Linked DNA regions of Tribolium castaneum. The main gene of each other region encodes a partner of the protein of the gene in region 4 in a complex. Links are inferred from orthologs where the notes say so. Each region holds a gene or a part of one and is shown on either strand. Other genes may lie near its edges. The genes, in order: Ing3, Eaf6, Taf5, Nipped-A, Brd8, pont and Tip60.

Evidence for each region.
Region 1: Nipped-A (region 4) and Ing3 share a complex: the UniProt entries of both Homo sapiens proteins name them as parts of the SWR1-like complex. The link is inferred for Tribolium castaneum from reciprocal best matches to the Homo sapiens genes TRRAP and ING3.
Region 2: Nipped-A (region 4) and Eaf6 share a complex: the UniProt entries of both Homo sapiens proteins name them as parts of the nuA4 histone acetyltransferase complex. The link is inferred for Tribolium castaneum from reciprocal best matches to the Homo sapiens genes TRRAP and MEAF6.
Region 3: Nipped-A (region 4) and Taf5 share a complex: the UniProt entries of both Homo sapiens proteins name them as parts of the TFTC-HAT complex. The link is inferred for Tribolium castaneum from reciprocal best matches to the Homo sapiens genes TRRAP and TAF5.
Region 5: Nipped-A (region 4) and Brd8 share a complex: the UniProt entries of both Homo sapiens proteins name them as parts of the SWR1-like complex. The link is inferred for Tribolium castaneum from reciprocal best matches to the Homo sapiens genes TRRAP and BRD8.
Region 6: Nipped-A (region 4) and pont share a complex: the UniProt entries of both Homo sapiens proteins name them as parts of the SWR1-like complex. The link is inferred for Tribolium castaneum from reciprocal best matches to the Homo sapiens genes TRRAP and RUVBL1.
Region 7: Nipped-A (region 4) and Tip60 share a complex: the UniProt entries of both Homo sapiens proteins name them as parts of the SWR1-like complex. The link is inferred for Tribolium castaneum from reciprocal best matches to the Homo sapiens genes TRRAP and KAT5.

The regions. Positions count from the first base shown.
Region 1 is NC_087397.1:1,048,017-1,051,911, forward strand, and holds Ing3 (inhibitor of growth protein 3), read left to right. Parts: upstream 1-1,263; 5' UTR 1,264-1,377; coding exon 1,378-1,405; intron 1,406-1,482; coding exon 1,483-1,554; intron 1,555-1,601; coding exon 1,602-1,747; intron 1,748-1,793; coding exon 1,794-1,993; intron 1,994-2,039; coding exon 2,040-2,283; intron 2,284-2,465; coding exon 2,466-2,629; intron 2,630-2,678; coding exon 2,679-2,904; intron 2,905-2,953; coding exon 2,954-3,070; 3' UTR 3,071-3,395; downstream 3,396-3,895. Other genes in the region: uncharacterized protein LOC103313454, read left to right, coding at 1-26, 66-227, 273-395, 437-609, 657-937, 987-1,213. UniProt on the Homo sapiens protein: Component of the NuA4 histone acetyltransferase (HAT) complex which is involved in transcriptional activation of select genes principally by acetylation of nucleosomal histones H4 and H2A.
Region 2 is NC_087398.1:15,239,154-15,243,146, reverse strand, and holds the start of Eaf6 (chromatin modification-related protein MEAF6), read right to left. Parts: upstream 2,801-3,993; 5' UTR 2,660-2,800; coding exon 2,582-2,659; intron 2,495-2,581; coding exon 2,291-2,494; intron 2,236-2,290; coding exon 2,199-2,235; intron 1-2,198. Other genes in the region: peroxisome biogenesis factor 2, read left to right, coding at 2,972-3,082, 3,131-3,547.
Region 3 is NC_087398.1:2,407,342-2,411,405, reverse strand, and holds Taf5 (cannonball), read right to left. Parts: upstream 2,801-4,064; 5' UTR 2,737-2,800; coding exon 2,680-2,736; intron 2,637-2,679; coding exon 2,051-2,636; intron 2,005-2,050; coding exon 1,677-2,004; intron 1,626-1,676; coding exon 1,469-1,625; intron 1,016-1,468; coding exon 695-1,015; intron 641-694; coding exon 131-640; 3' UTR 78-130; downstream 1-77. Other genes in the region: heterochromatin protein 1, read left to right, coding at 3,267-3,524, 3,598-4,064. UniProt on the Homo sapiens protein: The TFIID basal transcription factor complex plays a major role in the initiation of RNA polymerase II (Pol II)-dependent transcription.
Region 4 is NC_087401.1:16,678,124-16,681,623, forward strand, and holds part of Nipped-A (transcription-associated protein 1), read right to left. Parts: intron 2,530-3,500; coding exon 1,850-2,529; intron 1-1,849. UniProt on the Homo sapiens protein: Adapter protein, which is found in various multiprotein chromatin complexes with histone acetyltransferase activity (HAT), which gives a specific tag for epigenetic transcription activation.
Region 5 is NC_087396.1:10,840,518-10,844,534, forward strand, and holds the start of Brd8 (bromodomain-containing protein 8), read left to right. Parts: upstream 1-1,217; 5' UTR 1,218-1,618; coding exon 1,619-2,009; intron 2,010-2,130; coding exon 2,131-4,017. UniProt on the Homo sapiens protein: May act as a coactivator during transcriptional activation by hormone-activated nuclear receptors (NR). Isoform 2 stimulates transcriptional activation by AR/DHTR, ESR1/NR3A1, RXRA/NR2B1 and THRB/ERBA2.
Region 6 is NC_087395.1:13,831,749-13,835,975, forward strand, and holds the start of pont (ruvB-like helicase 1), read right to left. Parts: upstream 2,801-4,227; 5' UTR 2,721-2,800; coding exon 2,580-2,720; intron 2,530-2,579; coding exon 2,226-2,529; intron 2,171-2,225; coding exon 1,908-2,170; intron 1-1,907. Other genes in the region: Abcd3 (ATP-binding cassette sub-family D member 3), read left to right, coding at 3,395-3,516, 3,569-3,808. UniProt on the Homo sapiens protein: Possesses single-stranded DNA-stimulated ATPase and ATP-dependent DNA helicase (3' to 5') activity; hexamerization is thought to be critical for ATP hydrolysis and adjacent subunits in the ring-like structure contribute to the ATPase activity.
Region 7 is NC_087402.1:5,803,531-5,807,416, reverse strand, and holds Tip60 (histone acetyltransferase Tip60), read right to left. Parts: upstream 2,574-3,886; 5' UTR 2,179-2,573; coding exon 2,128-2,178; intron 2,073-2,127; coding exon 2,015-2,072; intron 1,965-2,014; coding exon 1,896-1,964; intron 1,847-1,895; coding exon 1,013-1,846; intron 963-1,012; coding exon 800-962; intron 739-799; coding exon 522-738; 3' UTR 501-521; downstream 1-500. UniProt on the Homo sapiens protein: Catalytic subunit of the NuA4 histone acetyltransferase complex, a multiprotein complex involved in transcriptional activation of select genes principally by acetylation of nucleosomal histones H2A and H4.

The DNA.
Region 1 (3,895 bases), on a different chromosome or scaffold from region 4:
CAGAATATAACGCACACAGATATAAGGTAAAAGCAGAAGCTTCAGGCTTGGTTTACTCCCGTTAGGTTTTTTCAGCGAAACCGAAAACTGATACCAAACCCCTCCCCATGAATCCGTTCAATTATATCAACCTTCGAAAGTTACGGGCAGACGCTGAGCGGTTACAAATGATTGATAAGGAGAATAAGCAGCTCCTTAAGTCCATAAATACGATAAATAGGACCATCGTAAGATTTTGATTTTAATTGTCTTGAAGTGAATTTTTAACGTAGGGAAAAATTGATTCGTATAATCCTGAAGCCTATGCGTCTAAATCGAAATGGCACGCTCACGTTATGAGGATGAAGAGAATTGACCGCAAAAATAAAGCAATATACGAGAAACTGATGGCTGCAGTAAGCCCAAAAAATTAGTTTCTTTATTTAACAGTTAACAGACTTCCAGTTACGATTGTGAGTCGTTACGTAAATTCTGGACCAGTATTATTGAAAAATTGAAACTAACTTCCAAATTCCCTTTGGTCATCCTTCAGAAAGTCTCAGTCGATTCAGTTATTGCAAAACAGCCGTCAATTAGTTGCGGACTTGAGAAATTATCAGAACGGCCCCGGTATAATTAAAAAAATCAAACAATGACTTAATTAATTGACCCCGAAGGTGTTTTTTGGAATTTCAAGTGCTAAATGGCCCAGTTCTGGGCCGCGTAGAGATCGAGCTTTATCACGACCACGTCCCTGTCACAGTCCAGAATTTCTTATCAATTTGCTGCGGTGAGAACAAACAGAACCTTTCGTATAAAAACTGCCCAATCAATCGAATAGTTCCGGGCCGTTTTTTGGAAACTGGGGACATAACTAAAGGGACAGGACGTGGTGGGGTGTCAATCTATGGTAAATACTTTGCAGAGGAAGGCCACATGCTTAAGCACACGAAACCTGGTACAAAACCCGAATTTAGTTTACGAAAAATTCCTGAGTGTTGTTTCAGGAGTTTTGTCCATGGTGCGTGTCCGCAAACACGATAACAACTCGCGCTTTTGTATCACCTTCACGAAAATGGAACAGTTGGATATGCAGAACGTTGTGTTCGGTTATATTGTGCGAGGGGCTGAGAATTTGTTTAAAATTGAGGGGTATGGCCGCAGTATCGGCAAGCCTTTAGCCCCTGTAATCATCTCGGACTGTGGGAAATTGAATCGGGCGCTTGAGTGTTAGTGGTTTTCGGGGCGTCATGTTGTCGTTTGGAATTAAAAATGGCAGTTTCCTTCCATCAAATTGTGTGAAGTTTGCAGTTTCGGGTTTATATCAGGAAATAAAGTCGTAATTAAACACGTATTTACTTTATTATTTATTATTCCGTACCACATTAATACAGCAAAATGTTGTATCTGGAAGATTACTTGGAAAGTAAGTAAATCAGTTACTTTGGCGTGGCATTGACGGAAACGCCAATTGTCAATGTGGCGCTCAATTCGAATTTTTAGTGATCGAGCACCTACCTCAGGAATTACGGGACAGGTTTACAGAAATGCGAGAGTTAGACTTAACAGTGCAAAGTAAGAGTTTGATAGTTAGAGTTGATTAAATAAATTATTAATTGTAGATAACATGGATGAGTTAGAAAAGCGGGTGAAAATTTTTTTCAATGATTGTAAGCGCTATCCCGGTGAATTACCGCCTGCCATTCAAGTCGAGTTCGAAGCTGTGAAAAAAGAGTACAAAAAGACGCTCGAGGACGCAGATGAGAAGGTAGTTGTGGGGTTGTGTGACCACTTAATGATAATTTGAATCAAAGGTGCACCTCGCTAATCAAATGTTTGAACTAGTTGATAAATACCTGCGCCGGCTTGACACAGAACTACATAAATTTAAATGCGAACTAGAGGCAGACAATAAGGGCATAACTGAAGTTCTAGAAAAGCGGTCACTGGAGTTAGACACTCCAGTTAATTCAACAAATTCATCCCAACAACAAAAAGAAAATAGATACGAAAGGTGGTTTTCATTTATGGGAACGTAATCTTTGTTAGTGCTAATGTAGTTCTAGCAGCTTTAGATATCGACAAAGAAGCGAAAAAAGACGGGATAGTAGTAACTCTTTGCAGACCTCATTTGCCGAAAAAAGACAAGCTGTTGCCCCCATACCTCTCGTCGAGACCCGGCATAGTTCAATAGGCCAATCAACGCCCCCAGCTCAGTCTAACGTTACTTATAATTTGGGGCACATAGGCGCGGGGCCTGCCATTGCGGCTGCGGCCTCACAGGCCATCGCTGCCACTCAACAGGTAAAAAATCACTAATTTTATACCATTTTTCGCCTAGAAAATTGTCAAAAATAATCCATTCAATCAGTGGTGGCTGTTAGGACACGAGCCGGGGCGAGTGTCGTATTAATAGCCATTGAGTGCGACCTACATACACTATTTTTTCTACGACCTTGATATTTTATACTATACTGTTTGATCAGATGCAACAAGGCAGGAGGACAGCAAGTCTTAAGGCCTCGTATGAGGCGATAAATACAGGAAGCCATGGTCATGAGTTTAGTATCGGGCGCGAGTTGGCTGGGGCGGCGCAAACGGCCATTCAAGCCATCCAACAGGACCATGCCAATAACAAGAAGAAGCAAAAGTAACGATTTTTCCCATTTTTTTTGGTTAAATTTAATTTTGAATTATAGGAAATGGTCAGGTGGTAGTGCTAGCGCACCTTCGGCGTCAACAACAGTTCAACAAATATTAAATGCTCCGCTTGCTAGTGCCGCCCCTGAATCACCGTCAATAGATGTGTCTTCACAAAGCGCGGAAGTAACAGATGGGGAGTGGACTTATGACCCCAACGAGCCTAGATATTGTCTCTGTAATCAGGTTTCTTACGGAGATATGGTCGCTTGTGATAATGAAGACGTAGGTTCTGTGAAATGTTTCTGGGTGTGTTTTATTATTGTTGTTTTAGTGTCCAACTGAATGGTTTCATTACCCATGTGTTGGTATTACTGCACCGCCAAAAGGCAAGTGGTATTGTCCACAGTGTTTAGCGTCAATGAAACGTAGAGGGAGCCGAAAAAATTGAATGTGTTGATAGAGAGTTTAAAAAGGCTTGTAACAATTTCTCGGAGGCGGGAGAAAAGAATCAGAAATGAGTGAGCTTGTGCAGGAGAAAATGTTAGGGAAATTCGAGATTATTTAATCTGTTTTTTCCACAGAAACGGAATAGTTGTAAAAATAAAAGTATTCAACTGTCATTGTGTTTTTATTGTGATTAATGATTTCCTATTTAATATTAAGATCTTGTGTAATTATGAAAATGTAATATTTATGTATGCTCAACTTTTTACTCTTAAATAGTATTGTAAACCGATTTATTACGCTTATAAATTATAAAACTTGAACAAGAACAGAGTTTTATTTGACACATTTCCTACCCTATCCTTTTTAAGACGTTTAATTAACTTTACTGGACATTGATAACTGAATAAACTAATCACACAGATAATAAGTACATATAAGCAAGGATCAAAATCTGAATTCCAGTCTAATGTAAAACAAAATAAAGCAACAAGAGCGTAAACACATTAGATATTATAATTTTGATACATGAAAATTAATGGAATCGGTAGTTTAACCCACTTGAAAAGGGAACCAGCTCAATATTCGAATTTTACGGTAAATAATTTAAATATTACATTGCGAAATATGTATGTACATTTCCATGCACAGCGACCATTTGCACCGAGTTTTACACACATTACCTAATATTTCCTTGTAAAAATAATAATTAATTAAAAACGCACCTAAAATCTAATGAAGGTAACGAGTAGTAACGAAAATATCAGCCTGAATGCAAGCGAAATTGCATGCCGTGAAACGGTCGGATTTGTAAAAACCCTCCACCTTC
Region 2 (3,993 bases), on a different chromosome or scaffold from region 4:
ACTTCCCTCCAGTTTGGAACGCCCCTGCTCAAAATTTCTATAGTTAATTTTTTTGTATAATCAACTGTCAGTGTCAAAATTCTGATAAAGACTGTAACACCCTAAAAGTTCATGTTCAACCACTTTAGAAACTGGCTGTATTCTGTATTTGACAGTTTGAACACCAGATTTGACATTTTTGAAAATTGGACGTTAGTGTTAATCGTTAATTCGTTACTCTAAAGGTGGTCTAAAATAACTAAATGTGTTGTTGTACGTCTTGTAAATTGGAGACAACTTGAAAAATTTGGAAATTGAATTTTCTAGGTAAAAAATTACACCAACCTTAATTAAAAAAAAATACTATTTATGATAATGCCAACCTGACAGCTCTTATTACATTAGATTCTCGAATTCGATTGGGAATATAAAGATTATTAACTGTATCAAATATTGTAATATTATCTGTAATGGTTTCTGAAATATTGAGAAAAACTCACTAAAAGAAGCACCCCTCGCTACTGTAGTTACATAGAAAAACCCCTTGTAATAGTAATTCTGACTAAAATGGTTTTACTGTGTAATGTTCTTGCAGACATAATTAACGATAAAATATACAATTAAAGAAGTAAAAAATATTTTTATTCGTTGTTCCTCAAAATGTTCAAAATGTCTTTCAATTTACTTCCAGATGAACAACGTTTACAACATTTTTGTATAGTGATTAAAATATGTAATTCTCTGATTGTTTTTTTAATAAAAATACTTACGAGTATTTTGTTTATTTCATTTTAATGAAGACAAAAAATGTAATTCGATCATCCGATTGGAGAACCTCTTGCAATAGTAAGTATTTCGAATTATAATAGGTTTTAGTGTATTTTTATATAGTTTATGATAAAACAAACAATAACATTAAAACAACTAAAATTAAAAAATAGAAACTTGATTTTTTTAATCAAATTTAAATTTTAAATAATATGTTCAAAATGTCTCTAAACGTAACTGCCTGTTATACATATAAAATTGAAACATGCTTTTAACAGGCTCACTAGGTATATTTGTTTTTCTTTTAATACAAATACTTACTTTTGCTTATTTAATCATTTTAATTAAGAGGAAAAAGTTAATTTGGTAATTCTAAAAACCTCTTGCAATAGTAATTAGTGCGCATTATAAAAATTTTACTGTATATTATTTTGGCATGGTTTATGAAAAACTAAACAATAGAAATATAAATAAAAATATAAACATTTGATTGTCCTAGTGTTCGTTTTACATAAAATGGTCATAAAAAATGCACCTAACATCTTGCGATTTAAATCAAGAACTGACAACCTTTTTGGGTGGAATTGAAATACCGTATTTACCACCACTATTTTTATTTTAATTTTAAGCAAAATAGTCCCGACAGGGACTCCTCTATGATCTTTTGTGATAATAATAATATTAGTAATAATAAAATACCTGTCAATTAACTTTCTGTTGAACGAAGTGTTGCAATGCAAACAACAGTTTTTATATAAAATTACAATTCTCTTAACAGGATCACTCTAAGTTAAAAAAAATGTTTCTTTTTATTCGTTTTAATAATAAGAGAATAGTTAATTCAAAAAATATCAGTCCGAATTTATTAGAGGTTTATGATAAATAATAACAATAAAATAAATAAGTAAAAAAAATATTTGTTTGTTCTACTCGGTATATGTCCCTATGAAATTTTTTAAATAAAAATACTTATTTTTTTTTATTCAATTAAAGTAAGAGAAAAAAGTTAATTCGATAATCCGAAGAACCTGCTGCAATAGAATTCGTTCGGATTATAGAAGTTTTACTGTTGGTGAATTGTTTTTGTAGGGTTTATGACACAACTAACAACAAAACAAATAAATAAGTAAAACTAAATGTAAAATGTTCAATATGCCTCCCAATTTACTCCCTGTGGGAGTTGTAAGCAATGAAAATAAACTCTAAATTATTGTAATATTTTGTTTCATTGCTTGCAAAATTTGAATAATTTTAGAGTAAAACATTTACAGAGCTATTGGAATGTCTCTCATTTTTCCAGTGCATATAAGAGGCAGTGACCAAACTAGAGAAAACATCTATCTAGAAGAAAGTTCACAGCAAAACTACCACAAACACTACAAAAAAGCTACAAAACGAATACAAAAAAAACTAGACGTATGAATGATTTTTTATTTCATAACTATTCTTACTTTTCTCCTGATTTTGGTCAACAATTCCACTAACCGCCTGTAAAACGTTCATTAAAATACAAAAAAAATACACAAAACTCGTCCCAACTCACAGCCATTGAGGTTATGGACGATTTAGAAAACAGACGTTCGGCTTCTTTAAATTTCCTATTTCTTTTATCAGCCTTAGAGTTTGTTGTTTTGTTACTCGATAAATACCGATCCCAGCCTCGAATTATATTTCCATACAACTGAGTGTCTTCTAAATAGGAACCTTCAAACGCGTAAATTTGGCGCTCGAGATTTGCTAACGTCTCCTATAATTGGTTAAAGACCGCGAATTTAAGCCAAACAGAAAAACATTTCTTAATACAAAGCTTCAACATTTATAAAGTAACTCTTACCGCAATTTCTGCTTTTCTTTTAACAAGTTCTGCTAACTCTTGGCGGGCATCCACCGAAACATTGTTTTTGGCCGACATATTGTTCTTATTATCACAAAACGATAAAAGGAAACGTTACACTTGTAAAGTCGTTGTTTTATGCTAAGTGCCTCAAGTAATTACACTAAAAATTGTTTATTTCCAACAAAACACCTCACAACTTGACGTTTCGCCAAATGTCAAATACGTCACCCGTGACGTCGCTGCCAACATAACAACCCGAAAAGTTCCACAAATTCTGAGGTTATGATCATTATGAAATAATTAAAAAACAACAAATAGTGCCAAAAATACAAATAGTTGCAATAAATCAACATTCCAAACGCTCAATTTGTCTAAAACTTGTGCAAAATGTCCAACGATAAGTTACTGAGAGTCACCCAAATGAACGCAATTTTCCTTGATAATGAAATCTACAAAGCCCTTATGCGAATTCTTCACGAGACTAGCCGTTTCTTACCCGTAAGTGCCCCCTTGTTAAGGTTTGGTTGCCTGAAAGTGTAATTTTAGCCTGGTTATATAGCCCCCATTGAACCTGAGTTGGGCCTAATTGTGCGTTTAGCGCTTCTGAAAAATTCAGTCTGTCGCAATGAGAGCACTTTTGGGCAACAACTTTTATCAATAAAGTACAGCAACATGTCGAATTTCAAGAAAATTCTTTACTTGTTTGGGAACTGTTTTGATTACGTTAAACATCGTCTCGAGTTCTGGAAGCCCTCGCATAAGGTTAACACGTTTATGTTTAAGATACACATGGTTTTAGTTTTATTGAATTTTATCAATATGTCCATATTTCTACGACGTGGGGTTAAACCGTTATTGATAGAAAGGTGTTTGGGTTTGAACCAAGAGTACTCAACCAAAACTGCTCCAAGGCATTTTGAAGCGAAATATTTATCTAGAGAATTACTTTGGAATGGATTTATCGTAAGAATTCTTTCAATTTAATTTATTTTTCCGTTGATTGTTTAGATAACCATAGTAATTATAATTATACAGGGTGTCTCACATAACTTTACGAGGCCTGCGCCAAATGTATACATACGCACCCAAATATTCAAGAGTCACAAAACACTAGATACAAAAAATTCACATTTGATTATTTATTTTGTGGAAACCCGTGACAGTAATCTGTTTATCTTAATCACTAATTGACTAAAAACGTAATTTTTTGAAGGAGTGAACAAACAAGAAAAAACAATCCAGTTTTTCAAAATTTGTAATCGAGTTCGTATATCGGAATATGTGTTGTAGGTGGCATTTTAGAGGCGCAGGTCGCGTAAAATTATGTGAAACATCCTGTATTATTTGTCTGAGATTAGGCAATCAACTGTGCAATTTTGGAATATTTTACTTTTTTTAACGAATCAAGA
Region 3 (4,064 bases), on a different chromosome or scaffold from region 4:
CTGTTTATTTTCAACTCGGAATTCTATTTTAACATTTTAGTGTTATTTCAAGCGATTCATAAACCAAACCCCAAAAAAATCGTTAAAAAATTTATTTCTTATCAAGGTAAATAATACACATTACAATAAACTAAGTGCTAACACCATCAAACATGCTAACAGCCAATAGCAAATTCCTCCTCGTAAAGTGAAGGCTGATCAATGGCGAGCTCTTCGTCGCAAAACTCCTCAATAAATAATCATCCCCGATCCTCACATCGGGATTATGCGACACATTTACTTCCTCCGAGCTGATTTCCTCAGTCAGTTTGGTAAAATCCCAAACTTTGAGCAAACAGTCCAACCCTCCTGAAACTAGAATATTCCCGCATCTGCTGAAAGCAAGTGCATGGATGGGCTTCTCATGCCCGGTGAGTTCTGCAACCAAGTGTCCATGGGACAAGTCCCAAACCAACACTTTACAATCCACCCCCGCGGAAGCCAAAAACCGCCCACAAACACTGAACGCCAAAGACATTATGGGCGATTTATGCCCAGTCATAAGTCGGACATGATTTCCCGTCGTACAATCCCACAAACAGACGCGGCGGTCGCTGGAACCGGTCGCAACGTAATTGGAATTTGGGTGAAACTGGACGCACTACAATTAATAATTTCTGTAAAAAAATATTAAAAAAAAATTGATAATTTTTACATCGACGTCGGAGAAATGACCGGCAAATAATCGCAACGGTTGGTAATGGTCGGTGGCCCAAAGTCGCGCAGTGCGGTCGTACGACGCCGAAGCGAAGTAATAGCCCAAGGGAGAGAATTTGACGTCCCAAACGGGGAACATGTGTCCTTTGTAGACCACCAGACAAGTCCATATTTGCAACGACCATAATCTTATTGTTGTGTCTTCCGAACAACTGATAAGGAGAGTCTTGTCTGGGGAAAATGATACCGAGTAAACAGGCCCTGAATGGCCGTAAAGCGATCTGGAAGTCTCACCGGACCTTTCATCCATCATTCTCACCTGCATGTTGAAAACATGTAAGTTTTTGGAACCTGGCCAAGATGACAGATAAGTTGCTATCTTGGCAGATTTCTTTAAGTACACTGTTTAAATGAATAAAAATGATACACCTTCCAGTCATTTATTTTGCGATTTTAAACATGTTGACGGTTTCCACACGGCAACGACCTATTTTTATCGCTATTTATTCAAGTAGTCGATTAATTTAAGTCGGTGTCTACTTTATCGACTTGATGGGGGCGAAAACTAAAATCTCAACTTAACTTTGAATATATTTAATGTTGTATTAAAAAAATGAGTGATTACTTTTGTAGTAATAATAAAAGTCTTTTCTGAACAAAAAATTGTAATCGAAATTACTGATTTAGTTTTACTTATCGTTTAATTTTGATTGATTATATATTTTTTCATGTACTTTATCGATTTCATTATTAAAAAAAAATGTAACATTACCACGACATCCTCTACGTCAACATTGACATCCTCCAGCTGCTCCCCACTTTTCATAGCCTTCAGTTTTTGAGGCACAAGTGTCCAGACTTTAACAATTGAATCGCTGAAACCCACCGCCAGCATACTCGAATCTTCGGTGATTTCAGCACAATTAACCCTAAAAAACCCCCGATAAAGAAAATATTTTCACTGAATAAACTCAACTAACGTGTGATTGGCGTTAAGTAAGGTGTAACAACAAACTGAAGGGAGGTAATCCGGGCCTAACGTAACTCTCTTTGAGGCCTCTCTGTACGCCTTCACTTTTTCGTACTTATCGTGGTCTCTCATGTCCGGGACTGGAATTCTATCAGGCGGTGGAGCGTTTGGGTCATTTTTTGTTTTTTTCGAGAAAAGTGGGTCTTTTTTGGCTTTTTTCTTCTTAGGTTTGTCCGGATTGTCCTGTTCGCCGCCTTCGTCCTCGTCTTCGACTGGCGCTGCTAGTGCCTGAATGTCGGGGGCTTTGGGGATGCCGTAATAGACTTTGGTTTTATTATCTGGAATTTTGATGTGTTTATTGTAATTATGATAACGAAAATGAACCTTGTCGTTTTGCCTCTCCCCCAACGGCACCTGACGTGGCATCAATCTGGCTTTTGTTCCTCGCTACGCCTTCGTACATATCAAAGTAGAGATGTTCCTGGATGATGTTCAGCAAAACTGACGCTTTTTTGTCGTTTAAGTGACGTTTTAAAAGTGACAAAGTGTCACGCGACATTCGAATAATAAACTGGTTTGATTTGAAGGTGTCTGTCAATTCGTTCCCGTTCATATGGTCCCGTTTTGTGACCAAAGCCAACTTCCTGAGATCCTCCTGATAGTACGAGTCTTGTTCGGGGCCAAATTTTTTCATTAAGTTTATCGCTTTCTCCGTATGTCCATTATAAACCAATTCGAGGTACATGTGGACCAAAACTGGGTATAAAATCATGCCTAATTCGTGTTTGTAAATGTCAAGGGAGCCCTCAACAAAACGCTTTAACTCCATGTAAGAGTCCTCATAGGTTTCTGGATCTCCGTCACTCTTGTACCCCGTCAGAACGCTACTAACGTCTGAATTTTGTTGCAAAGGGCCATCAGCTATGTTATTACCGAGATTGGCCTCCTTTCGTAGCAGCTCCTCAGTGCCCTAATGAAAAATGTTACGTTGTGCTTACTCGCCATAAGCTCACCTTTAAATTGTATTTTTTCAAAATTTGCAGAACGGCTGCAAGTTGAGATTTTTCCATTTCTTCGGCGCTCATTTATAAACTCGTAAAATAATAAATACAACACAAACTGACGTTTCCCTAACCACACTTTAATGCAAATGACAACAATCAATAACGCAAAATTTCCCTAAAGCCTGCCATTCAACGTCGATTTATAAAAAATCTAGGCTTATTTCGCAACAATCCGATTTTCTCTTCATTCAGAGAGCGCAGTATGAGAGTTGTAACTCCTGGCTATATTTTTTAAAACTCTGAGAGTCGTTTTTGGACAATTTTTAATTGGTTGAATTGTGTTGGCACCATTTTTTTCTTAACCGCCACCCGCCATATTTCCAGCGCCATTAAAAGGATCTTTTCGGCGGTGTTTTGTGGTGGCTTTTTAAGAGCCAGAGTTGAAAGTAAGTAAATAACGGCTCCAATCGCATTATTATCCACTACCTTAACTAGTCAGCATTTTAGTAACGAAGTTGAATGCAAGCAATACTTATTGTTCCAGAAGTACGCAGTCAGCATCGCTTTACCGGTTATTCGCAAACAAAACTGCAGAAATGGGCAAAAAGAAGGTAGAAGACAGCGAGAGCGAGGAGGAATATTCAGTTGAGAAAATTATCGACCGGCGGGTCGTAAACGGAAAGGTCGAATATTTTCTCAAGTGGAAAGGTTATAGCGAAGACGATAATACTTGGGAACCCGAAGACAATCTCGATTGTCCCGATCTCATAGCGGAATTTGAAAAGTCGCGCAAAGCCAAGGCGAAGAGGTCTTCCACCACGAAAAGTGCGGACGAGGATAGTGACAAAAAAAAGGTGGGTTTATTGGATAAGCCAAGCAAAAACCAGCCCACTTCGACCCGAAATCTATTTAATTGTGTATCCCTAGAAAGAGAAAAAATCCAAGGACGGTGAAGAGAAGTCTGAAAAGAAATCAAAAGGCAGGCCCAAGAAGCATGCGGTTGAAACGGAGGACTCCGACGGCGAGCCCAAGTCGAAGAAAGCTCGCCGTCGTTCAGATTCCACGGACGAGAAAGAGAATTCAAAAAAAGACGCAGATTCCGACGACGAAAATGGTAAAAACAAGTCTGACTCATCTGACGACGAGGATAAGTCCAAGAAAAAGAAGAAATCAGAAGGCGATGACGACGAAAAATCCAAGAAAAAGCGAAAGTCTGAGTCGAAATCTGAAAAGGGGAAGGATAGTTCATCCAAGAGTAAATCAAAAGTCGGCTTTGAACGGGGCTACCAAGCCGAGAAAATCATAGGAGCATCAGACACCACAGGACAGCTGATGTTTCTGATGAAGTGGAAGGGAACCGACGAGACCGATTTAGTCCCAGCTAAGGAAGCAAA
Region 4 (3,500 bases):
GTCTAAGGTAACTCAACAGTCAGGTCAGGTCAGGACTGGAAACTTAGAAAAAGTCTAAACTAACTCAACAGTCAGGTCAGGTCAGGTCTGAAAACTTAAAAAAAGTCTAAGTTAACGCAACAGTCAGGTCAGGTCTGAAAACTTAGAAAAAGTCTAAGTTAACTCAACAGTCAGGTCAAGTCAGGTCTGAAAACGTAAAAAAAGTCTAAGTAAACTCAATTTTCAGGTTAGGTCAGGTCTAAAAACTTAAAAAAAGTCTAAGTAAACTCAACAGTCAAGTCAGGTCAGGTCTGAAAACTTAGAAAAAGTCTAAGTTAAGTCAACAGTCAGGTCAAGTCAGGTCTGAAAACTTACAAAAAGTCAAAGTAAACTCAATTTTCAGGTTAGGTCAGGTCTAAAAACTTAAAAAAAGTCTAAGTAAACTCAACTGTCAAGTCAGGTCAGGTCTGAAAACTTAGAAAAAGTCTAAGTAAACTCAATTTTTAGGTCAGGTCAGGTCTAAAAACTTAAAAAAAGTCTAAGTAAACTCAACAGTCAAGTCAGGTCAGGCCTGAAAACTTAGAAAAGTCTAAGTTAACTCAAGAGTCAGGTTATTTTGAAGTTCAAAATATGTTTTTTTAAGTTTAATCTTAAGTTTTTATTTAACTCTACATTGACATAACGGGCTCAAGCTACTCTTTGGTAGCTTCCAAATATCTTTTTTATATAGGTTTTTGGGTAAAAAAATAAAGTATTTTAAAAATAATAATAATAATAATTCAACTGTTAGATTTTTTACAATTACTTCTACACCTTTTTGAACCGTATTTCGAAAATTGAAAAGTTAACCTCCTTTTTGAGTGACGAACTAATTAGTATTGCATTGTCACGGAAATTACGTAAGTATGCAAAATTACAGTTCATTCGGACAATAAAAACCCTTTAAAGCTTGACTCAGAAAATATGAAACTGACAACAAAACAAAATAAAAGCTATTAAAAAGCTTTACAAAGAATTTTAATTACAAATTATCATAGAAAATAAATTTAACAGCTTCAATTTTTGCTGCACAGTTGATCGAAATTTTATTAACGTTTCCAGTGTTAATTTGATTAAAATATTATGCTTTCGTAAATTTGCTACAAAAATGTAGATTTTTTATACCTTATAATAACCCTTTTAATGTTACCTACCTGTCCTAAAAAACAATTTAAATTATTTTATTTTAATTATTATTTTATCCATCTTGCTTCATTCTTCTTCTTCTGTGTTTCCTTTCTTGTTTACAATTTATTTTTACAAATTTTTTTACAAATTCCCCAGAATTAGTTTCTAATTGTTTTCCCCCTTTTATGAGAAAATCCAACTGATAAATGACATAATCTCAATTAATTTATAAGCAATTACGCTTGCAAAATACATGTCATCATGTAAATATCAATAAAGCGGCTGTCAAGTTGAAAAAACGCGTGTGGTAATATATTAGATTGTTTTTTACTTCTGGTGAAATATGACTTATGATAAGCGATAAGTTTTGTAAAAGAAATATTTTTGTTAGATAATTGTGCAAGAAAATTTTCCTCAACACAATGTGTGATACAATTTTACATTTTAGGATAAATGACAAATAATTACCTACCTGTTTTATTTTTTGAAATATTTTGTTGTCTTATTTGTTTTTGTTAAAGAAATACAAGACAAGTTAATATTTTTAAGTGTTTCATAATAAAACATGTTTTTAAAATAAAAGTTATTCAAGACGACCGACTTTGTTTAACAATCATGATGTTTGCCAAAACGAGTGAGCGTAACTACAAGGTAGACCACAAAATTTTGACAAAACATATTTTTTTCCAAAAAATGTACTTACTGTAACAACATCTTGGAACGATTATCCAAAATCTTGATCCACTTCTTCAGCTTAAAAATCAACGTATGCAAGCGCATCGAATTCGTTTGCGAAAAATCAAAATCCTTGGTAAAATCCTGCTTCATCTCCTTAAACACCGGATCCTGATACGTAGCTTCGGCTCTCCTGGCCAGACTTTCACTAGCTGCCGAATTAAACGTAACCACCGAACCAATATTCTCAACACCAATGCCAAACGTCGACATTAACTTTTTCACAAAATTAAGTATATGTGGTGTTATTTTAGCCTCATTTACACTTTCACGATTCTCGAACGCAATCGCGTAACATTTAGTCAAACCCTGCCTTAACTGTCTCAAAACCTCTTCGTACCAATTCTCTCTAAACCACTCCATTTGATTGGCAATTCCTTCGAGACTTGACAGTGCCGTGGTGTGAATATCACGTTGCATTTTCATTATTTTTGAACAGCGGATCATAGCAGGTGTTGCTTTGATTGAAGATGTTTCGCTGGTTGTGATTGTGGCAGTGTTGCCACTCTCTTGTTGGTTATTTTGAGTGTCGGTTTGGTCTTGGGGTTGTTGTTGGACTGTGTTTGTTTTACGCGCTGTTGCCGTACGTAAAGTTAGGTATAACGTACGGATGGGGAAGTACACAGCCTGAGGGAACATTCTACCAACCTAAGAGGAACGAAACTATAACAATCTCTGCCAAATTCTAGTTACAAACTAATTTAGTAGCGTTTAAGAAGTTACTTCTACAAAGTTAAGAAAAAGATTATTTTTTTATTTTTTTTAGTTTGAAGAAAAACATTATGAAACAAAAATAATAATAAAGTCTTCATAAATTTTAGTTTATCTAAATGGAAAAAAATCCTAAAGGCTCGTATCAGTCACAATATTCGGAAAGTACTAAAAAGTCATGACATCATTATCGCCCAATCGAAAAAAAAATACTTAAAATATCTTCTTTTCGAAAGTTTTATGAGGTTTTTCAAGCTAGAAATATAATTATTACCAACATTTGCATTTTTTATAGTTATTTTAAGTTTGAAAAAAAAACTAAACATTCTACAAAGTCAAAAAAAACATTATGAAAGACAAATAAATAATAAAGTCTTTACAAATTCGTAGTTTTTCTGAATAGGAAAAGTACATAAAGGCTCGTATGACTCACAATATCGGGAAAGTACTAAAAAGTTCGTGACGTCATTTTCGTCCAATCAAAAAAAAATTACTTAAAATATCAGCTTTTCGAAAGTTTTATGAGGCTTTTCAAGCCAGAAATATAATTATTAGCAACATTTGCATTTATTTTAGTTATTTTAAGTTTGAAAAAAAAATAAACATCCTATAAAGTCAAGAAAAACATTATGAAACAAGAATAAATAATAAAGTCTTTATAAATTAGTAGTTTATTTAAATAGGAAAAGTACACAAAGGCTCCTATGACTCACAATATCGGGAAAGTACTAAAAAGTTCGTGACATCATTTTCGACCAATCGAAAAAAATTACTTAAAATATCAGCTTTTCGAAAGATTTATGAGGTTTTTCAAGCCAGAAATATAATTATTACCAACATTTGCATTTATTTTAGTTATTTTAAGTTTGAAAAAAAAAATTAAACATCCTATAAAGTCAAGAAAAACA
Region 5 (4,017 bases), on a different chromosome or scaffold from region 4:
TAATGAATATCAATTATATCATATAATTTATGTTAAAATAGGTTTCACAAATTCTTGCCATGATGAATCCTAGCCTAGACTGAAATTATAAATATTGCTTTGTTACGTAATGAGAGTAGAGTATATGAAGTGTTTTAGTTGTAAAGGATGTAGTTACACACACTTTAGGGGTTAAAACTGCAATTCTGTAACGAAGTCTGTTATATTTTTACCGAAAGTGCTCATGCTGTTATCAAATTAGGTGACGTAACTTTGGGAAATGCTTTTGACGATGAGAGCGATTTTAACAAAATCATTTCTTATTCACAAAATTACGATTTGTTGAAAATTTCCTTCACAGTCATATTCACCTTATAAGTAGGGATTTTTTTCAGAATCATGTAAATAAATGTAGAAAAGTGCCTATTTTAAATTGCGCATCGCTACCCTCTTGGTCAACTATTAGAGTAATCTCAAATTATTTAATGTTTTAACTGTTGTTATAATTTGGTTTATAATTGAATAAAGCTGCATTTTTACAGTTTGCCCGCATTTCCTTCAACACACAAAAACATTTCAAACAAATTTATTCAACTACTATGTTACAAAGTAAACTATCATAGCGTGAAACACAGTAAGAGGACCGCAAATCCCAGACGCTCATACTGATTCATGATTATTGCAGCAACGCCAAAACGAAAAGCCGCTTTCATAACTCTTGCATTCCAAAACATTATTATCAGACGCAGCCAAGTTGAGGAAGGTCTTGTCACACTTGTCTCAAACGCTGGTGCATTCACCGGCTTGTCGTTTTTTCCACCACTTTTATGAAACACTCCATATTTGTCGATGTAATAACTGATTCGCCCTTCGGGGGCCATTCTGAATACTGTTTCCACCTTTTTTTTTTTTTTCAAAGAGTATCCTTACATTTGATTGTTATGTATACACTCACAACTTCTTTTTTTACTTCACTTTGGGACACTGGGTGGAGCTACCACCAGAAACAGCTTCCAAAGCATTCGAAAAAAACATTTTTTATTGCATTCCATTCGCAAGAAAGTGAGGTTAAAAATTTGACAACTTGCCACTAAAGTAGCTACCGCGCAAGCTACCGAAATACTTAATAACAGAATATGCCATAAAATTCGACAAATACAAAAAGGTGGCCACAATCTATATGTATTTGATAACATTAAACCAGCTACACCCAAAATACACTAATTAATTAAAAAACAGTCATTAAATTAATACTTTTCGATCATAAAAGCCCTCGTCAAAAATCACGGTCTGTACGTAATATCTAATAATGTCTGCGTATGAAATTTTCAAGATTATTAATTTTTATGAATAATAAGATCTTACGAAATTATTTAGACAAGTGTGCTTGAAACATTACATAATCTTACACTGATTGTGGTTGACTTTCTTTAAAAATCAGGCAAAACTTCTGCATAGTTTGTCCAGGTTTGACACTTTGACAGTTGACAAATATAAACAACGTTCAAGCTTGTTATAACGATAATTCTTGTGTGCGAATTTCTACTTCAAGAATGTTTATTCAGTGATACTATTAGTCACTTTCCTGGCAAGGTTCTTGTATTTGATTTTTGGACGTTCGGGCCAACATAACCTCAAAATGAGTTCAATTGAAGAACGTTTACAAATAAAGCGTGAACCGCTGGATAAATGGTCAATCCGTGAACAGTTGGCTCTAGCAGTGGCTCGTAACATGGACCAGAATTTAACAAGTGTGAGCCGAGCTTTAAAACCCTTTGGTGAACCCAACAGACCCCCTGATTGGTTCCACCAGAAGAACTGTGCAGCCCAGTATGGGGCTCTTTTAGCGAATGTTGAAACACCTAAGAGGAAGAAAAGAACGTCTGGGGGCGAAGTCACTATCGAAACCCCCGCCGAAGTCATTCTACGCAAACTTTTGGCCGAGAGACAAGCTGAGCTCAAGAGACTACTAGCGGAAGAAAAAGCAGAATATCAGAAATTGCAGAGAGATAAAGCTCTGCTTCAGTCAGGTATTCACAATTAAATTAAAGTTGTTTGAAGTTACAGGGGCTATATTAGAGCCTCTCAAACTTAAGACTGTTGCGGAAATTCGGTTAAGTATTTTTTGATAATTAATTGTTTTATTTAAAGGTAACGTAAGTGAAGAACAACTGGATATTTGGTGTAAGGAAATAGATGAAGAGGAACACAGGAAGGAACAAGAAGCCCTGGCACACGAACAGTGGCTAAAGGAGAGGGAGTTACGAAAACAGGAAATAGAAAGAGCGTGGAGACCAGTTAAGCCATCCCCGGTGATTGGTCAAAAACGTAAAAATTCCGAAGCTATGGACACAATCCCAGAGATGGAAAATACAACAGAAGAACAGAAAATCCTAGTGCAGGAGCCCCCTAAACCGGCCCTATCGCCACTTCTGACAAGTCTTCTGAAATCACCATCACAAGTTCCAAACGTTACAACTTCCTCAATATTGCATTCAGCGATTACCAACCAACGGCCAACCAACACAACTACTAGCCCCATGATTGCCAGTCTTTTAAGCTCCTCAACTGGAGAAACAGTTTCTCCAGGATTGCAACTTTTGGTTAGTACAGCTATAGGACAAGAGCCAACCGGAGAAGAAACCCAACAACAGAATGTCAATACTAACGATATCCTCGATGATGCCAATCTACAAATTTTGAAAATTGATGACTTGGCGAGCAGTATCTTGATCCAGAATGGCCCACTTCCAGAAATAAAGAATGACGTTGATGTTATCATCTCCGATTTGATTGAGAACGCGCAGGATATAGTTGCAGATCCGGAACAGCATCTACAACTGGATGGAAACGGTGATCTTAATCTAAATTTGGAACTGGAAGATTTCGAAGAGAGTGAAACTGATATGAAGGACGAAACCAAAGAAACAGAAAAACGGACGGAAACTACAACACCGGCAATAGATCCGTTTGAGTTCCAAGAAGATCCGGAAGTTTTTGAACCCGCTAAACCTGCAACAGCCGTGAAAACAGACGCTTCTAAAACTATGGTAGCACAGGACAGCGACGATCGGTCACAAACTACTGACGAAGCCCCAAATTCAGACAATAAACACTTAACTTCAAATGGCGAAGAATCTCGGGATGAACTGGTAGAAGTAAAAAACGAACCAACTGATGATTCCGATAAGAAAGATAAAAGCACAACTCCTGGATCCGTCGAAATTGTAGAAGTTGTAGTTATGGATGATGAGGATACTGACAAGGAAGTCAATAAAACTGAAGATCCAGCCCATTCCGTTAAAGCGGAACCAAAGAAAGAAACAGCAGGGGAAAGTACAGAAGTTGCGGAAATAAAATCAGAAACAGACGCCAAAGTTTCAGAAAATGAAAAATCTAGTGTAGAGATTGAGAAGAAAGACGAAAGGAAACTGGACGAGTCAACCACATTGACTTCCGACTATAACGAGGAATTGTACGACGATATCAATATGGAAGTGAAAGTGGACAAGACCGGGAAAGCAAAGCGCGATTATTCCAGGACGAAGAAGAAGGACGATAAAGAATTTGATGTTCTCTTGGCCATTGAAAAGGCGCAAAGAGACGAAAGTGAGTTGGTTGAAGAGAGTTTCTCTGACCGGGATTACAGCGAACTGGACCGTAAAGACAGCAAATCGCGGATTAAGAGCGAGAATGAAAGATCTAACAGTCCCTGGACGGAGGAGGAAGATGTGTCTACAATACGGACAAGGAGGCGACTTTCAACTCCTGCGACTCCGATTGATTCAGTTCCAGGATCACCAGTTTCCAGTATATATTTTTACGATGATGATCGGGAGTATCGCAATTGGAAGAAGTCTATAATGCTTGTGTATAGTAGATTGGCTGCAAATAAATACGCGTCACTGTTTTCTAAACCGATCACCGATGACCAAGCTCCAGGGTATCACAGTGTGGTGTATAGACCCATGGATTTGTTGACGATTAGAAAGAATATAGAGAATGGGGCTATAAGAACAACGCAGGAGTTTCAAAGAG
Region 6 (4,227 bases), on a different chromosome or scaffold from region 4:
TCGCAATAATTGAGTTTTTAAATCGAAAATATGTTTTGAAAGCTTGAAAGAGGCCAAATTACCTTGTTTATATATTTCTTTCATTTCAGTATTTCTTCCACTTATTTTTGACGAAATTTCGCGACATAATTACAATGCCTTGACTAGAAAAACCTATCTAAAATGTCCATAAATAAAATGGGACACATAATGTCATTGATTACCTAATCTAAATCTCGAAAAACAACGGGATTTTTAACAAAAAAGTAGTTAAATCCTCAAAAAAAGAAAAATATATCACCATCCTCAAATTAAAGTGGGTTTATTCGGCGTATTTTTGACAAGATTCTTTCAAATAATTGCTTTTTTGCCTACAAAATCAAAATAAATTTTTTTTGACTTAGTTATTAACTTTTATGCGAGTCTTTAAGTCAAAAAAATGCTAAAATAAAACACATTCTTTAACGTAATGTAGAGTTTTTTTAATTGAGTTTCTGACTAAAATTTTGCTAAAGACGTTTAACATAGTTTGATGCAGACGAAATTTCTCGAAAAACATTTGTCGTTTTCTGCTTGTCTAGCGAAAGCAACTAAGTTTTTAGCCTTAAAAAGTACATTGTGATCATTTAAGTTTATAATTAGAGTAAGCTTTATTATTACTTTTTTTGAAAACGCTGATTAGTGTAATTAAAAAAGCTGAAGAATATTATTTATTTAGACTACAATTTTTTACCATAGTTTGGACCAGTTCCAAAGAAAAAAAAACTAGCACAGTACTTAAGCACTTAAAAAGGCAAATGTATAGCACATTCACAATGTAAAGTGCTTTTTTTTCGGCTTATTTTTAAATTTAATTTCCGGGAAAAAATGAGTTTCTAGTTGAAAAAAAAAAAAAGATAAAATAATCAGATTTTTTACTTTTGGAACAGTTTTAAATACAGTGTGATTCAAAGGCAGGGGACAATCTCTGGGGTGCTGATAAAAGACATCAAACTGAATTAAAAGTTCCTATGACAAAAAAGTGTTTGAGTCTTTTTTCACGAGATATAGCTCTTCAAAGTTAAATTTTTAAGTTAAATTATTGGTGCATCAGATGATATTTTTTTTGACTTTAGTTAGCGGAAACGAAATTCGATATCATAGCAAACAAAATAGCAAAAATGGATACCTAAGGAAAACAGTTTAAAAATATATCAAAATTACTTTGCTTAAAAAAATTTGAGTTCATTTTTGTGCTTAACTAAACTTCGTTTTTTACTATACGAGCGTTTATTCGTCACTTTTGAATCACGCTGTATAACACAATGCGGTGATGTATTGAAATTATTGTGTTTCCTTTGAAAACAATTTGGTAAAACTCAAAAATGGCAAAAACAAGGTTTTTCACATAATGTGAAATTTTGACCAAACGTCTCGAAAAAAATTATTTCTGACCACAAAATGCTCGAGAAACGTAAACATAATGTAATCTTAAGATTGATTAATATAATTTTGCTAGATTAAGCGAAAACTAAAAAAATACTAAAAAAATCAACTACCTAAAACCGTAATAAATTTTAAAAGGGTGAACAATCCAGAGAAAATGTAATGTTGGTGGCATTTAAATTATATGAAACACCCTGTATAATTGCGTTTCTGGATAAAAAAATTGCTAATACTCCACAAACGTCAAAAACAATGGGCTTTTTGACCATATTTAATTATTTCTGCAACAACTTTACGTGACAACACCAATCTCTTAAAAATAACTGTCACAAGTGTAAAATTGTCTTAAGACAAAAATAATGTATGTGTGAGTAATTTAGCAATTTTTCAAAAACATGATTAAATTTTGTTGATTTATTTGTACTGTTCAGTTTGTCTTGAAACTTGAAAAAAAACACGGAGCTACCGTTTATCCAAAAATATTAAGAGCGGATTATACATACTTGAACCACCTCCTTCTTTTTGTGAACTTCCCCCTTTGGAAGCGGTACATATTCCTCAGCTTCTAGATCAAACTCAGTCGCATATCCATCAGATCTGCCTTGACGCTTAACAGCCCCACTATTGGCTTCAATATAAATAACGTCACCTACTTCGACTTTTTCCTTCTGAAGGGCTTCATAAATACTGGGGTCGAGTTTCAGTTGTTTGCTACCTTTTGCAGTTTTCAGGCCAATAATTACATGACTTACTGTCTTTCCATACCCTACAAAACCAAAAGAAATATATAGAACATTGTCAAAGTGTCTAAAAACTAAAACCTCCAGCAGGATTCTCCGTTTCAACAGGAGTCAATTCAGTAACTTCCCCCTCATAAACCTCCTTAGTCTCCCTAATGCGCAGCCCTATGGCCCTCCGGAAATTCTCCATCAACACCTCCGTCTTCTTAATCTCAGAACTGTAAACCTCGGACCCCACCATGGGGCAAAAGGGCACCTTATTACCCAGTTCTTGCGCGATGGCCAAAGCTATCGCAGTTTTACCGGTCCCAGGGGGACCCGCTAGAAGCACAGCCCGTCCGGCCATTTTCTTACTCCTAATCATATCCACCACAATCCCTGCGGCCTGAAACCACTGAATTTAGCCGAACTCTGATTAAAAAAGACAAACCTAACCTCCCTAGCCTGTTCTTGGCCGACCAAGCCGGCCGCTGTTGGCAACGCGAAACCATTCTCATCTAACCCTAAACCTTTAATGTGGCTGTGGGCACTTATTCGTTGCGTTTTCACCGTACTTTTCACTTCTTCAATCTTCATTTTTGGAAAACACGCTAACCAAACTTTGCTTGATCAATTTGAGTTTTATTGTTGTGATGTTGGTATGGCAACAACCGGTTGGAGAATTTTGGAGCGTTGGGGTGGTCATAGTGACCATTTCAAATTCATTTTTGATTAAAAAATCGTTTTTAATATTCTGTTCGAACTCAGCAGTCACAAAGTGATTTTTGAAATGTTTCATTATAATACTATGACCTAGTCAAATTTTAAAGAAATTGCGAATTTAATTTTACATTGATCGAGTCACCTGAGACACCTGAGAAATGGCATGTCAGCTCAACATGACAGAACGGCCATTTGTCAATTATCACAAAATGGAAAACTTTCTAATTTTCCTTTAATGAATCCTTTCGATTTTAACGATCGGTTAATGCATTCCACAGGTGAGTATTTGGCGTGTTTGTTGTCTCTTTCTCAAATTGCGGCTGTCCCTGTCTTGCAGGTTCGGCCAAAATCATGTGATCGGTCGAAGCTCCAATGACAGTCGCTGACTGGAGCTCAGTAAAATCAGTAAAATACTTGGTAAAGTCTGCTTAAACGTTAGGTGTCAGTGTTTGTGGATGAGTGAGTGGAAACAAATACAATTGATCGGAAAACTGCTTGGTCACGATCACTCAATACTTCTTGTGAAAAGTGCGAAAAGATGAAGTAAAATGGCACCCAGTTTTAGCAAATATGTGACAAGAAACAATGCTCTTGCAGCCGCTGGAGCATCGACAGCTTTATTATGGATTTTAATATCACGACGAAGAAAAAATTTGTACAAACTGGACAGGTATGAAAATTGACCCCACTTCGAGACTTGTTTGACTCCGGTTTTGTTCTAGGAGAAAAGTCAGGAAAACCGTGGATGAAGAAGTGAAATATTTTATATCTGAGAAGAAAGAAAATAGGATTAAGGCGCAAGTTGATAGGCAATTTCTTAAGCAACTTAATCACCTACTTAGAATAATTATCCCAGGATGGACTTCACCTGAGGCGGGATTTCTATTCCTTGTAGCTGCGAGTTTAGTGGCTAGATCTGTGTGTGATTTATGGATGATAGATAATGGAACGAAAATAGAAAGGTAAATCGAACAATGAGTTGTTGGTTACTTCAGTTAAGGAAGCTTAGAGGTTATGTAATTGCATTCCGAATCTGAACTTTATGTGATTAAGTAAAGGCGTCAAATATTTATGCCGTCTTAGCCAACGGTTTTGGTAGAAATATTTTTGCTTTTTTACCGTGTTATCATCGTGACTGGATATTTGTATAAAGTCACCGATTTAATTAAAATTCATTAACCTTGAGGGGTTCATTATCTGTCTGAATCTAAAGAGGAAAAATACCACCAATATTTTACCGTTGTGATATTGCTGTTGACACAGCTTTCACCCTACAGTTGGTATTTTTTTAATAACACGTGTTTCATAAATTGCTTCGCATTGCCATTATGTAATATTTTGTTTCCTTGTATTGGATATCTGTATACAGACCTGGATTATT
Region 7 (3,886 bases), on a different chromosome or scaffold from region 4:
ACATCCTCTCCCATCAGTATTATAAACAAACCCAAAACAAAATATTACACAATAAAACGTACGAATAAACAACGGAAAACGTTTCATTTTTTTATTAATTGAAGATTAGTTTTGCAATCGCAAGTTCATTGATTTCAAAATTCACAAGGTGATGAAAAACGACTAAAACGTTTGAAAAGTAGTCCACTTTAACTCACACTTCGCTTTAATAAAAATAATTCGACGATTTTCAGAGTAAAATCTGACAATTGCGAAACTAGTGAGTTTCTAAATAAAAAATATGCGTAAACGCAAAAATAATACCACTTTCGACTTAATAATATCTTGGACGTAAAATGTGCCAGTAAATACAAACAAAATGCATTTTCGTAAAAAATGTACTACTGAACCCGGTGTTTTCTCCATGTTTCTCCGTCAAAACACAAGTTCGCAGTGTTACTATTATTAAGTGAGGAGGAACAGTGTGGATTGGCAGAGGAATATGTTAATAAAAGAGAAAATGTAAAAAATCATTTATTGATCTACCACTTGGCGCGTTTGCCCCAATCTTTAGGTGTCCAATGCAGACACTTGGGGTCGATTCGGATAAGTCTACTATCCATGGCTTTTTTGTGACTTTGCATAATTTCCTGATTTAACGTTATAATATACTGGCCTTTGTAATAATTGATTAAGTTTAAGTTTTGTAAAGTTGAGATGACGTCTTCTTTTTTAATACTTGTCAACTCACAAATTTCACTTTAAAGTGAACAAACATTTCACAATTACGAAAAATAAAGAAATAATCAAAAATACTTACTTGATCGTTATTTGTGGCTTCTCGTTATCACCCACTGGCTTCATTGATATTAAGATTTCTAAAATAGCTTGTGCCCAGTAACTCCTATACGAAAGCAAACCCAAATCGGAGAGAGGTTTTTCGGGAGAACCCGTTTTACCTTCGAACTTTGATAATTCATAACCTGAAACAATTCGTGAAATTTCGACAACAAAAATTCGCACTCAAACTCACTAAATTCGATTAGTAATTTTCCGTAACCCTTTCGCTGATACGGAGGCATGGTTAAAATACACGCGACGTTAAAATCTTCCGTTGATTCCTTCTCTTTCGAAAAATAGCCAACAATGTGAAACCCTCTATTATCAAAAATGGTCATTACGTAAAACAAAAACGGGTCCGTGTCGTAATACAGTGTTTTATGATCGAGGAACAGCTTCGCCAACAAACACAAATTCTGGGCGTAGACTTTATTTTTCCGCCCGTCAATTTCAAAAAACGAGACGTTTTCCTTGCGATAAATCTCATTTCCGGGCGGGTGTCTCAAATTACATTTGACCAAGTGGCGTTCTAGACACTTCCTGCTCTTTCGGTACTTGAGGCAAAACTCGCAGATGTATATACAGCTCAAGTTGACCATTTCTTGCGGATATGGCGCAAAATACCACGGCTTTATCCTGTGTTTCCCTAACTCGATCATATCGATGTTCTTCATCCTGGTGACCACATCGTCATGGTGCGACACCATGCTCCCAGACTGCCTCGGCCCTGGGGGCATCTGTGTGGGCCCATCTTGCGAGTCTTCGCTCTCAAGAGACGGCCCTTTTCGTTTCCTATTTATGCGTTTTTGCAACGCTGCTGCTAGGACAGCACTGCCGTTGACAAGTTCGGAGGCAGCTGTCACAGGGCTCGAGGGCCTTGATACCGAACCGATGGCACCACCGCCCCCAATGTGAATTTTTTTCGGAGTTGAGACTCCAGTGTTACTCCCGCCGTCACGTCTCGGGAAGTGGACTTTACGAGTGTCGAGCGATTCTTCGGTCACCCATTCGTCCAAACGCTTGTTAACTAAAACCCAAGTTAGTTCACAAGGAACGAAACGGGTGTCCAATCTTACAATCAACGTAATGGACGTAGTACAATTTCGAGCCTTGCACGTCCTTAATACTGATAATTTCGGCCAAAGCTGCAATTTAAAACATAAAAACGTGCAAAATGTGCCAAAGTGGGGCTTACGCCAGTCGGAAGTGCCGGTCATGTGAACCGGGAGCCTGCATCCTTCCACTAACGAATTCTAAAAGTGAGGTTGTGTCAACATTTTGGTTTTGCAATTTTTAATGAAAATATACCACAGAATCACAAATTGTGCTGTCGTCGATTTCCTCCATTTCCACTTTCATCGATTCTGCTTGTTTTTCACAATTTCGGGGGGAAAAATTGTAATTATTGCCGAACAAACCTCACCACCACAACTACCGCAAAAAACATAATGCGCAATATCCATAACGATTTTTTTCCATTGCATAATTGTTATCCAAAATAATGTTTTGATGCGACTTATCTGTATATGCACATTCGGCGAACCGAAACAATACACACAAGTGTCTACTATTTAATAAATTATCATTATCTAGTCATGGGCGTAGGGTGTTGCTCGGGGGTTTCCCCCGAAACCAGCACACTCGATAAAATCACACAATTCCATTCTCAGACTCATTGTTAAATTAACGCCTCACCAAGCTTTGTTCACAAATTGGTGATAACACGTTTGACCTTAGCTTCGCTTGAACGCAGCGTTCTCCTAATCGCAGCCCACAGTTCAAACGGAGTTTCGCCTATTTGCTCTTGGATTCGCAACAACTCGAAGAAAATTTGGACGAACTAGGCAAGGACTGTGCAAAACGAGAAGACATAGAGTCGATTATTTTGCACCACAACCAACTCACAACGCTCCCCAAAAACTTGTCAAAAGTCACAAACGTCCAAGTCCTCCATATCAGCAACAACGGCCTTATGACCTTACCTGATGTTTTCGAGTACTGGCATTTAACAACACTGGTTGCGAAAAATAATCGCTTCAGTAACGAATCCCTCCCGAAAAGTTTCGCTGAGAGTGCGAGCATGCAGGAGTTAAACCTGAGCGGGAATGTTTTCGAACAGTTCCCGAACAACTGTTTGAGTTTACTAATTTAAAGTACCTGTACCTAAGAGGGAATAAAATTAAAACAATACCGAAAAACATAAAGAAATTAAACTGGTAAGTGGGGACGATTAAAACGACCACACGTGATAATGATTGCAGCCTTCAAATCTTGTCGATGGGTGGCAATCAATTAGTGGAAGTTCCTTCAACTCTAGGCCAACTGAAGCAACTGCAGGCTTTGGTGCTTTGCGATAACTTAATCGAGAGTTTGCCGTCAAATATCGCCAATTTGCACAACTTGAAGTCGCTCCAGTTGCACAAAAACAAATTGCGCACTTTGCCGCCTGAAATAATCGCGCTGAAAAATTTGACTGAGGTAACAAATAAATCACCTTTATGTAAAAATAAAATTCGTTCGTCACAGCTGAGTCTCCGTGATAACCCCCTTGTTGTCCGTTTTGTGAGCAACATAACACATAACACGGCTAGTCTGAAAGAATTGTCGGCTCGTGTGATAAAACTTTTCGCACCAAAATTTCACATTGCCAGTTTCTGTTTAAATAAAAATATGCATTTTTATTTTTCCATTGACTGCATGCGAAACTTTTATAATTTTAGACGTTTATAGGCAAATACATTTGTCATAATTAATTTTTCTAGATCAATGCTGTTCTATTTTGAATAATTCTGTGTATGAATGTTACTAAATTTGACGGATTTTGACAGTGAATATTTCTGGTAATGACCTGTTTTAGACTTGTGTGACGTCACATCCGTGACGTGTCCCGAGGTTAGGTGTGCGGCGCAGGCGGCGAGAGCGCTTCAGTCGACAGCGAGCAGCGGCACGGGTCAGATCGGGAGCGGGACCGGGAGGCGGGGCGAAGCGAAGCGAGGTGAGGTGAGGCGGTTTATTTAAATTATTGTGTATTGTGCCGTTTCGTTCAATTTATTCAGTTTGTTACTTG